Mus musculus: one gene and its partners. The protein of the gene in region 1 interacts with the protein of each later gene in a biochemical or structural test. Links are inferred from orthologs where the notes say so. Each region holds a gene or a part of one and is shown in the gene's direction. Other genes may lie near its edges. The genes, in order: Esr1, Foxo1 and Med1.

Region 1 (3,653 bases):
TGCTGTAGTAGTTTGAATGAAAATGGCCTCCATAGACTCATATGTTTGAATGCTTATTCACTCGTTGGCAGAACTGTTTGGGAAGGATTAAGAGGGCTGGCCGTGTAGGAAGGGTTGTGATCATGTGCTTTGAGATTTTAAAAGTCCACACCATTCTAGTTAGTTCTCTCTCTCTCTCTCTCTCTCTCTCTCTCTCTCTCTCTCTCTCTCTCCTGCTTGTGGATCAGATATAAGCTCTAAGCTACTGCTCCAGCACTATTCTTGCCTGCCTACCTACTGCCTACTGTGATGGTCACAGATACTAACTTTCTGAAATCATGAGCTCCAATAAATGTTTTCTTTTGTAAAGTCATAGTGTCTCTTCACAGTAATAGACAAGGAATTAAGACAATTGCCCACACTTAGAAGGATGACCACACATCCAGGGGTTCATGACTAGTACAAACTGGCTTTGATAGGTTTAATACAAAAAAGTATACAAGTTAGGTAGGTAGGAAAGAGCCTTGATATGCTCTGAGAAGAGATGGGAGACAGTGAGTGAATATGATCAGAATACAATGCCTAGGGAGCTGGAGGGGTGGCTTAGTGGTTAAAGGCACTGGCTGTTCTTTCAGAGAACCCAGCATCTGCACTGAAAGCTAAAAACTGCCTGTAGTTCTACCTCTAGAGAATCCAATGCCTTCTGAACTCCAGGTGTACTTGCACGTCTATGGACCACACAGACACATAAAAATAAAATATATCTTAAAATATGTGAAGGCTTGATACCCCAGTGTAGGGGAATTCCAGGGCAGGGAGGGGCAGTGGGTGGGGGAGCACCCTCATAGAAGCAGGGAGAGGGAGGATGGGGTAGGGGGTTTCTTAGGCAGGGGAACTGGGAAAGGGGATAACATTTGAAATGTAAATAAATAAAATATCCAATGAAAATATATATTGCATGACATTCTCACACAATTAATAAAATCTCTATATTAGTGAATGATCTCCATACCAGACACTATTCTAGGCTTTGGCTATGCATATCCGATTCTTCTAAGTCATTTTCATTTGTCTGAACATGTATAGTCCGCATGGGGCCTTTGCCAATCTCTTTCCTTCCAACGACCCATTTGGGAGTCCTCTTAGATTTCTTTTTAGCTACTCTTTCATTTTCTCTATCCCAATCTTCATATAAGTTGACAAAAAATGCCCCCCCCTTTCATACCTACCACTCACCACACCCATTCTCCGACCAAGAGATTTTGGTAGGGGTGGTCCACTTCCCCTCCCGAAAGTCCTCTGCTCAAGCCCAAATCCATGCGAGCGGTCCTCTGGTTGGATTTCTCTGTCCCATTTGACAAAGTGAACGCAAACTCCTTTTGTAAAGTGTTCTTAAAGCTGTTTACTCCTCCATTTTCTTGGTTCCTCTAGAGCTCAGCTTTCTTACTATGCACATTCAGTTTCATTCCTGGGATTTGCTCCTTCCACGAAGGTTTTGAAGGTTGGAATAACCATCTGTATTCTGAGGCTCTTCCCATCCCATGTGCTTGAGTGGTGGAACACTTGAAGATGTAATTGCAGTGTCAAGTTGTAAAAAAAAACAGTCACCCTGGGTTGCCCGATAACAATAACATAAGGATTTGAATTGATATTGTTTCTTATGTGTAGTTTCCATGGGTCATCACTGGGTCTGTGTTCTGAATCCACCAGCTGCTGTAGGCTTTGTCTCGCTTTCCTGAAGACCTTTCATATGGTGTAGATTGGAATGAGACTTGTCTATCTTCGTTTTGAATTAATTATGAATGTCTGAAAAAAAAGAAGTTTGTTAGAAACCTGCTAGCATTTTGTTATTTTATGGATAATCTGTTCTGGGGTATGCAGTCCATTTCTTAAACAAGTTTGTTAAAAAAAAATCAATTTTTCTTCAAGGTTAATATAACAGGCAAATACCTTCTGCTGCATGTGTCAGAAAGAGACAATGGAAGATCAGTGTATATTATGAATCGTTATTTCAAAATGTCAGAATAAAGTGGGTCTGCTGCATCCCCCAGGTCTCACATTCTTGAGAGGGGAAGGAAGGCTTGCTTCTCAAATGCTAATGGATTCGCTGTTTTTCTCCCATCCCACCCCCAGGTCTAATTCTGACAATCGACGCCAGAATGGCCGAGAGAGACTGTCCAGCAGTAACGAGAAAGGAAACATGATCATGGAGTCTGCCAAGGAGACTCGCTACTGTGCCGTGTGCAATGACTATGCCTCTGGCTACCATTATGGGGTCTGGTCCTGCGAAGGCTGCAAGGCTTTCTTTAAGAGAAGCATTCAAGGTAATAGTGTATTGTCTAAAAACTGCTCTGTTTATGCCCTAAAAACAGCAGAGAACAGAAAGGAAGACAAGGTCTTTGTACAGCGCTATTTGCACAACACATGAATATCTAGTAAGTCTCTCTGTTCTCCTTGGTTGAAACTTGGAAAAGACACAGACTCCCAGGAGAAGTGGTAATGCCAGGGAAGCTGTGGCTAAGAATTTCTGCTTCCCCCTGGCAAGATAAGACAGCTTTGAGCAACTCCACTAGAAGAATTGGTAACTGGGTCTCTAGTGTACAAGGAAATGTCTCTGGCTTGATGCAGGCATGGCAGGCATACATTCTTATTCTTTCTCAGCTAAGCTTATGTGATGTGGCCTTGTCCAGGTAAATATTATGTTCTGATCTTTACTCCAGACTGACTCTGATTCAAATTGTTCTTTTCCCGCCCTACATCTCTTTCTTGACTCAATGGATGACATGACCTTTTGCTAACATGAGCAGACTCAATGTCTGCTGCCTTATGAGGGACACCCCATCAGTACTGTGTACTTATAAAGAACCAGCTGTGCCACCTCATTCTCCTGCCTTCCTTGGTCCCTCTTTGTGTACAGTTTATAAGTGCAGCTTTCCTGACAAGCCACCAGATACATGCTGTTGCTCCTTTAGAAAGGCCAGTACTGTCACACGATACAGAATTCCACTGGGAAATGTCAGTCATTTTTACTCCCTAAGGTGTGTGCACTAAAGTCCTTGACAGGGACAGAGGCCCGATGGTACTTTTGACTTCTTGAATTCATCTTTTTTTCCCCCCCTAGCAGTGGGGTAGTTTTCTTTCTTCTCTCTTCTTTACCTTTAGAGCTTAAATAAAGCTTAGTGTAGAGCTATGAAGGATACTCCTGCTGCAGTGCCTTCTACAAAATGCCAACTTAAGGAACTTGTTGAAAACCAGAACCTGCCACATTAATAGACACTGACCCAAGAAGAGATTCTCAGGAACTTTCTGCCTCGCCTCTTCAGCTCTGATATGGGCTAACAACCAGGGGATGGTGCACACTATTTATCTTTCCTCCACAGCTGGAAGAACATTTTAAAAAGCTGTTCATATCTTAATAGAGTAGCCTGTGAGGTCAATGTGGTCCATTTTAAAAGCATTTTCCTTGACACTTATTGCTTTCAACATCTTTTAGAATTCTGCTGTAAGACTTGGACTCCTTTGTCTGTGTTCCTAAAAAAATTAATGATATTCTCTATAGCAACTCTTTGTATATATCCCTCTGTTTGAGTGTATCACACACGAACTATTAATTTTATTACCTGATATCAATTTAATTCAGAAAAATAAAATTTAAATCTAGTTTTAGGTCAGTA
Region 2 (3,653 bases), on another chromosome or scaffold:
TTTTTCCTCCATCAACTTGCGATCTCTTACTGAGTTTATTACTGCTGTTGAGAGCCAGTGAGGTAGCTTGTTTTGCTGCACAAGTTTTATTCTCAGAACCCAAGTAAAGGTGGAAGGTGAAAAGAGACTCCAAAAGCTGTCTTCTGACCTCCACACAAATTACGAGCTGTTAGGCTGCTCAGAATGGGCACTGTATATCTCTGATCCCCATTGAGCAGTAAGTTTTCCAAGGGGGGAGTGCTGCACTTCTAACATACTGTTTTGCTTTGCAGAATTCAATTCGCCACAATCTGTCCCTTCACAGCAAGTTTATTCGAGTGCAGAATGAAGGAACTGGAAAGAGTTCTTGGTGGATGCTCAATCCAGAGGGAGGCAAGAGCGGAAAATCACCCCGGAGAAGAGCTGCGTCCATGGACAACAACAGTAAATTTGCTAAGAGCCGAGGGCGGGCTGCTAAGAAAAAAGCATCTCTCCAGTCTGGGCAAGAGGGTCCTGGAGACAGCCCTGGGTCTCAGTTTTCTAAGTGGCCTGCGAGTCCTGGGTCCCACAGCAACGATGACTTTGATAACTGGAGTACATTTCGTCCTCGAACCAGCTCAAATGCTAGTACCATCAGTGGGAGACTTTCTCCCATCATGACAGAGCAGGATGACCTGGGAGATGGGGACGTGCATTCCCTGGTGTATCCACCCTCTGCTGCCAAGATGGCGTCTACGCTGCCCAGTCTGTCTGAAATCAGCAATCCAGAAAACATGGAGAACCTTCTGGATAATCTCAACCTTCTCTCGTCCCCAACATCTTTAACTGTGTCCACCCAGTCCTCGCCTGGCAGCATGATGCAGCAGACACCATGCTATTCGTTTGCACCGCCAAACACCAGTCTAAATTCACCCAGTCCAAACTACTCAAAGTACACATACGGCCAATCCAGCATGAGCCCTTTGCCCCAGATGCCTATGCAGACACTTCAGGACAGCAAATCAAGTTACGGAGGATTGAACCAGTATAACTGTGCCCCAGGACTCTTGAAAGAGTTGTTGACTTCTGACTCTCCTCCCCACAATGACATTATGTCACCGGTTGATCCCGGAGTGGCCCAACCCAACAGTCGGGTCCTGGGCCAAAATGTAATGATGGGCCCTAATTCGGTCATGCCAGCGTATGGCAGCCAGGCATCTCATAACAAAATGATGAACCCCAGCTCCCACACCCACCCTGGACATGCACAGCAAACGGCTTCGGTCAACGGCCGTACCCTGCCCCATGTGGTGAACACCATGCCTCACACATCTGCCATGAACCGCTTGACCCCCGTGAAGACACCTTTACAAGTGCCTCTGTCCCACCCCATGCAGATGAGTGCCCTGGGCAGCTACTCCTCGGTGAGCAGCTGCAATGGCTATGGTAGGATGGGTGTCCTCCACCAGGAGAAGCTCCCAAGTGACTTGGATGGCATGTTTATTGAGCGCTTGGACTGTGACATGGAGTCCATCATTCGGAATGACCTCATGGATGGAGATACCTTGGATTTTAACTTTGATAATGTGTTGCCCAACCAAAGCTTCCCACACAGTGTCAAGACTACAACACACAGCTGGGTGTCAGGCTAAGAGTTAGTGAGCAGGTAAGTTTATTCACTGCAGTATCAAGAGGCCTTTTGAAAAAGGGACACAGTACCATGTGTCTTCCTTCCATGGTTAGACATTAAAAAAATAAAAATAAAAAAAATAAAAATAAAAACGTAATTAAAGACAGGGTCTTATGTAACTCATCCCTACCAGGCCTGGCTTACTTGGTGCTGGGGTCTAACCCAGGGCAACACTGACAGAGCTATGCCCAGGGTTGCATTAGGCTTTCTTCTAATGCCATCTGGTTGCAGGTGCTTACCTGTTATTGTCCTCCCCTCCCTCCCTCCCTCCGTTTATCAGTTTGCCTTTTGGGGTTAAAATAGAGTGCAGATTGCTTTAGCAGCTTTTAAGACTTTCTTTTCACTGTAGGATGGGTTGTGCTTTCTGCCAGCTCTAAAATAAATGGACACATTGGAATCAAATCAGATGCCAAAGGTCTTTTCTTTTCCTCCCATTTTTTCTCAATAAAGAAAAAAAATGTACCCATTGAATAATTTTGTAGCTGTTTGAGAAGGCTGGAGCTTCCCCTACCCCCAACTTGATTAAGTACAATTGAGTTGAAAATGACTATATTTTTATTGTGTGTGTTTTTCCCCTTTAGGCTACATTTAAAAGTCCTTCAGATTGTCTGACAGCAGGAACTGAGGAGCAGTCCAAAGATGCCCTTCACCCCTCCTTATAGTTTTCAAGATTTAAAAAAAAAAAAAAAAAAAAAAAAAGTCCTTTCTCCTTTCCTCAGACTTGGCAACAGCGGCAGCACTTTCCTGTGCAGGATGTTTGCCCAGCGTCCGCAGGTTTTGTGCTCCTGTAGATAAGGACTGTGCCATTGGGAATCATTACAATGAAGTGCCAAACTCACTACACCATGTAATTGCAGAAAAGACTTTCAGATCCTGGAGTGCTTTCAAGTTTTGTATATATGCAGTAGATACAGAATTGTATTTGTGTGTGTGTTTTTTAATACCTACTTGGTCCAAGGAAAGTTTATACTCTTTTGTAATACTGTGATGGTCTCAAGTCTTGATAAACTTTGCTTTGTACTACCTGTGTTCTGCTACAGTGAGAAGTCATGAACTAAGATCTCTGTCCTGCACCTCGGCTGAATGACTGAACCTGGTCATTTGCCACAGAACCCATGAGAGCCAAGTAGCCAGTGATCAATGTGCTGAATTAATGGACTTGTCAAACTTTGGGGCAGAATAAGATTAAGTGCCAGCTTTGTACAGGTCTTTTTCTATTGTTTTTGTTGTTGTTTATTTTGTTATTTGCAAATTTGTACAAACAACTTAAAATGGTTCTAATTTCCAGATAAATGACTTTTGATGTTATTGTTAGGACTCAACATCTTTTGGAATAGATACCGAAGTGTAATGTTTTCTTAAAACTAGAGTCTACTTTGTTACATTGTCTGCTTATAAATTTGTGAAATCAGAGGTATTTGGGGGCTGCATTCATAATTTTCATTTTGTATTTCTAACTGGATTAGTACTAATTTTATATGTGCTCAGCTGGTTTGTACACTTTGCGATGATACCTGATAATGTTTCTGACTAATCGTAAACCATTGTAATTAGTACTTGCACACTCAACGTTCCTGGCCCTTTGGGCAGGAAAGTTATGTATAGTTACAGACACTCTGTTTTGTGTGTAGATTTATGTGTGTATTTTAAAGAAATTTCACCTGCTTTTATTACCCTGTGAGTTGTGTACAGCGCATAGCACCAAGTCTTCAGATAGATGCCACGTGCTTACAGCCTTCTAGGGAAGCCTGCCAGATGATGCCCTGTGTCACGCTGTCATAGTTCCCATGGGAACTCTGTCTGTCGCTCAGGAAAGGGGAACTTTTATCTAAGGTGATGTTCTTTGTCTGACTGGGGTTCGCCTCCTACTACTCTGAGCTGTTGGCTTTTGTCACGATGGAGGTGGCTTTGTGGCTCTGTCCTGAAGAATCCTGTCACTTCTCGGTCCCCACCTCTGTTCTCTTTGGCTCTGAACAGTGTAAATCTAAGGAGGAAGTTTACAAAT
Region 3 (3,653 bases), on another chromosome or scaffold:
TGTATGTGTGGGTATCTGTGCCTGTGCCACTAGAATGTTTGCTAGATAACCAAATAAATTTTAAAAAGAAAAAAAAAACAAAACTAGATTGCCTGGTGTGGAATCTGGTGTGTTCATGTTTCCTTTAATCCAAGTATTTGGAGGCAGAGGTAGGTAGAACTCTGAGCTACACAGAGAGACCCTTTCTGAAAATAAACAAACAGGTTAAAGTTGTAGCATGTAAGTACAGTTCTTGCCTACCACTGGTGAGGCGTTGGGTTGTCAGCCCTGCAAAAAAAAAAAAAAAAGCAAGTCTAAAACAATATCCAAAACGAATCTGTAATACATGTGTATTATGTGTATGTACATGTATGTGGTCTCAGCGCATGTTGGTGTTTTGTTTGGTTGGCTTATGTATTCCTGTAGACCAGGCTGGCCTGAGCCTCACAGAGATCCCCGAGTTTGGTGGAAGGTGGAACTCTGGGATACTGAGACCAGCCTGGCCTACAGAGTGATTTCCAGAAGAGTCAGAGCTACACGGAGAAACCTTGCCTAGAAATACTTAACAAACAAAATGAAAATCGGTGTTACTCAGGCTAATGTTGTGCATGACTGTATGCCAGCACTAGATAGGAGGCAGAAGCAGGGGCAGGTAGCTCTAGACAGACAGTGAGGGTCAGCCAAGGGCTGCACCGGGAACCTGCCTCAGAAACCAACCAAACCACCCTTACTGAGGAAGTTTTACGGTAATAGTACTGATTGGCCACATCAAATAAATGAAAAGACTAATTGAGAGCTGGGCATGGTCGTGAGTACCTGTAATCTCAGTGTTAGAGAGGCTAAGACGGGATTTGGGGTTCAAGAGTAACCTGTGCTACACAAGACTATGTCATAAGTTACAAAATGAAACAAAAGTCTTGGCCATTCCTGGTTTCAGAATTCACTCTCAATTTAGGCTGTTTACTAATTTTTTGTTTTTAAGTTTTTCTATGTTGTAATTATTTTATATTCATGAATGTTTTGCCTGCCTGTATGTATGTGTACCTTGTGCGTGCCTGGTGATCAACTGGCGATGTTACTATTTGCATAAAGACAATTATTTGTTTGTTTAATGTCTTAAATATGGTTATGATCTTTTTCCTCATTGTTCAGATTCTCCTGGGCTCCTCCAGTTTGAAGTGTGTCCTCTCTCAGAATCTCGCTTCAGTGTATCTTTTCAGCACCCTGTGAATGACTCCCTTGTGTGTGGTGAGTTGTGTGGGTGGCCAGCCTCTCTTGGGGACATCCTTTCTTGAAAAATTGAGAACCCGGATGGATCACAAGGATCACTTCCACATTTTGTCTTTCAGTGGTGATGGATGTGCAAGACTCAACACATGTGAGCTGTAAACTCTACAAGGGGCTGTCAGATGCACTAATCTGTACAGACGACTTCATTGCCAAAGTTGTTCAAAGGTAGTAGTGGCCCTTTTCTCCTAAGAATTTCACTGAGATTTGTACAGTGTGTGGATGCAATTATGTATTTATTTATTCATTTATTTTTCAAGAAAGGCTGTCCTGGAACTCTCTATATACCAGGCTGCCCTTGAACTCAGATCTGCCTGCTGCTGCCTCCCGAGTGCTGGGTTTAAATGTGTGTGTGCATCCTCATGATATATCCCATACCCAGGGTCTATATGTTTATGTTTAACATAAGTTAAAAGTATTAGAAAAACATTGCCATTTAAATTTAAATATTTAAATTTACTCCTTTTATGCTTTGAGATTTAAAATAATGTGACATTTTTTGTTTGTTATTTAAAAGTCACTATGTACACAGTAGGGATAAAGCTGGCCATTTCCAGCCTTGCTATACATTTAAGGTGATAGAGAGCTGAGAAATAAACTTTGTTTTTAAAGACACACTCACTGTTGCCTCCATAGAATTTACTGTTTAGACCAGGTGGGCCTTGAATTCCTTTGCCTTGTGCTGATTAAAGGGTGGGTATCTTCATGACTCGCCTAAATTATTAGGTTTTTTTTTTTTTTTTTTAACATACCCTCTTCTTTCACATATACCATGTTATATAGCTGTGTGTGGGGAGTTAACATTTAAACCAGCAAACTTCCTGGAAACATTAATATGTACTTTTGAAATTTTTCTTTCTAAAGTAGGGAGGAAGTAGCCTATTTTAAAAAAGAGATTTCATTTACTTACGGTTTGTTTTTTTTTTAAAGATTGATTTATTTATTATATGTGAGTACACTGTAGCTGTCTTCAGACACTCCAGAAGAGGGAGTTAGATTTTGGTTTTTGTTTGTTTGTTTGTTTGTTTGTTTTGGTTTTTCGAAACAGGGTTTCTCTGTATAGCCTTGGCTGTCCTGGAGCTCACTGTGTAGACCAGGCTGGCCTCAAACTCAGAAATTCGCCTGCCTCTGCCTCCCGAGTGCTGGGATTAAAGGCGTGCGTCACCACACCCGGCCCTAGATTTTGTTAAGGATGGTTGTGAGCCACCATGTTGTTGCTGGGATTTGAACTCAGGACCTTTAGAAGAGCAGTCAGTGCTCTTAACCACTGAGCCATCTGTCCAGCCCCCTACTTACGGTTTTTTAAAAAACTCTTATTGCTCGTTGTGAATTTCAGATTCTGCACCACAGTCCCACTCATCCTCCCATCCCGCCACATCCACCCTCTGCCCTTGCGACCTCAAAGGAAACAAAAAGCTTGTTTGTTTGTTTGTTTGTTTGTTTGTTTTGGTTTTGGTTTTTTTGGGGGGGCTGAGGGGAAGCTGTACTGTGTCACAGTGTGTCCTGAGGTATGCCCGAATCGCTTTCCTTAAAAATGTTCAATGCAGTGAGTCATTGATCTGGTTTGAGGCCTCTGTCTTCTGCTTCACTATCAATACTGGATCCTCACTGAGGCTCCCCTCAGATAGTCTGTTGTTGCCCTGTATCATGGAGATCCTGCAGCTTTGGATCTGCAGGACTGGACCTTTATTTAAGTTTTGAGGCATGGCCTTGTGTTTTCCAAGCTGGCCGTGATAATGTAATTAAGGCTGACCTTGAATTCCCAATCCTTCTGCCTTAGATACCCAAGTGCTTTCATCAGAGGCATAAGCCACTCTACCTGGTTTATTTGGTGCCAGGGAGAAAACCCAGGGCTGTGTGCCTGGTAGGCAGGCACTGTAATAATTGAGCCCCATCTTCATCCTCAAAATAGATTTTAATAGATTGTGATTAACTTTGATTGGAACGCTGCTGTTCATTTTACATATCCCCAGCACCTGTCAAGTAAAACTGTCAACATCTTGAAGATAAAACACTTAATAGTTATAATGCCCAAAATATCAGTATTTGCCTCAGGGTAAAATTTGTTAACACACATAGTAAAGCAAAATGTCTTAAAAAGTCTGTTGAGAATGTAAACTTACCCAGAAGCTAAAACTAGTCTGTGCTAAGATAACTAGTACTGCAGACCAGCAACAGAACTTTCCAGAGTGGCTTTTGCTATATTTCCTCCTGAGTTTACTTATCATGACCTTTCCTCCCCAGGTTTCTTCCATAGTTTTCATTTTTGAGACAGGGTCTGGCTGTTGTAGTTCAGACTTGCCTTGAACTTGAAGTTCCCGTGCCACCCACGCCTGACAACTTTCTTTTAGCTCAGTGTAAATTGTTTTTGGACTCTGTTTTGGTTT

Evidence for each region.
Region 2: the proteins of Esr1 (region 1) and Foxo1 form a complex in vitro, tested with the Homo sapiens proteins (2 studies listed by BioGRID). The link is inferred for Mus musculus from reciprocal best matches to the Homo sapiens genes ESR1 and FOXO1.
Region 3: the proteins of Esr1 (region 1) and Med1 form a complex in vitro, tested with the Homo sapiens proteins (6 studies listed by BioGRID). The link is inferred for Mus musculus from reciprocal best matches to the Homo sapiens genes ESR1 and MED1.

Annotation. Positions count from the first base shown.
Region 1 is NC_000076.6:4,744,505-4,748,157, forward strand, and holds part of Esr1 (estrogen receptor), read left to right. Parts: intron 1-2,112; coding exon 2,113-2,303; intron 2,304-3,653.
Region 2 is NC_000069.6:52,344,767-52,348,419, forward strand, and holds part of Foxo1 (forkhead box protein O1), read left to right. Parts: intron 1-272; coding exon 273-1,610; 3' UTR 1,611-1,624; intron 1,625-2,229; 3' UTR 2,230-3,653. UniProt on the Homo sapiens protein: Transcription factor that is the main target of insulin signaling and regulates metabolic homeostasis in response to oxidative stress.
Region 3 is NC_000077.6:98,158,718-98,162,370, reverse strand, and holds part of Med1 (mediator of RNA polymerase II transcription subunit 1), read left to right. Parts: intron 1-1,131; coding exon 1,132-1,227; intron 1,228-1,328; coding exon 1,329-1,434; intron 1,435-3,653. UniProt on the Homo sapiens protein: Component of the Mediator complex, a coactivator involved in the regulated transcription of nearly all RNA polymerase II-dependent genes.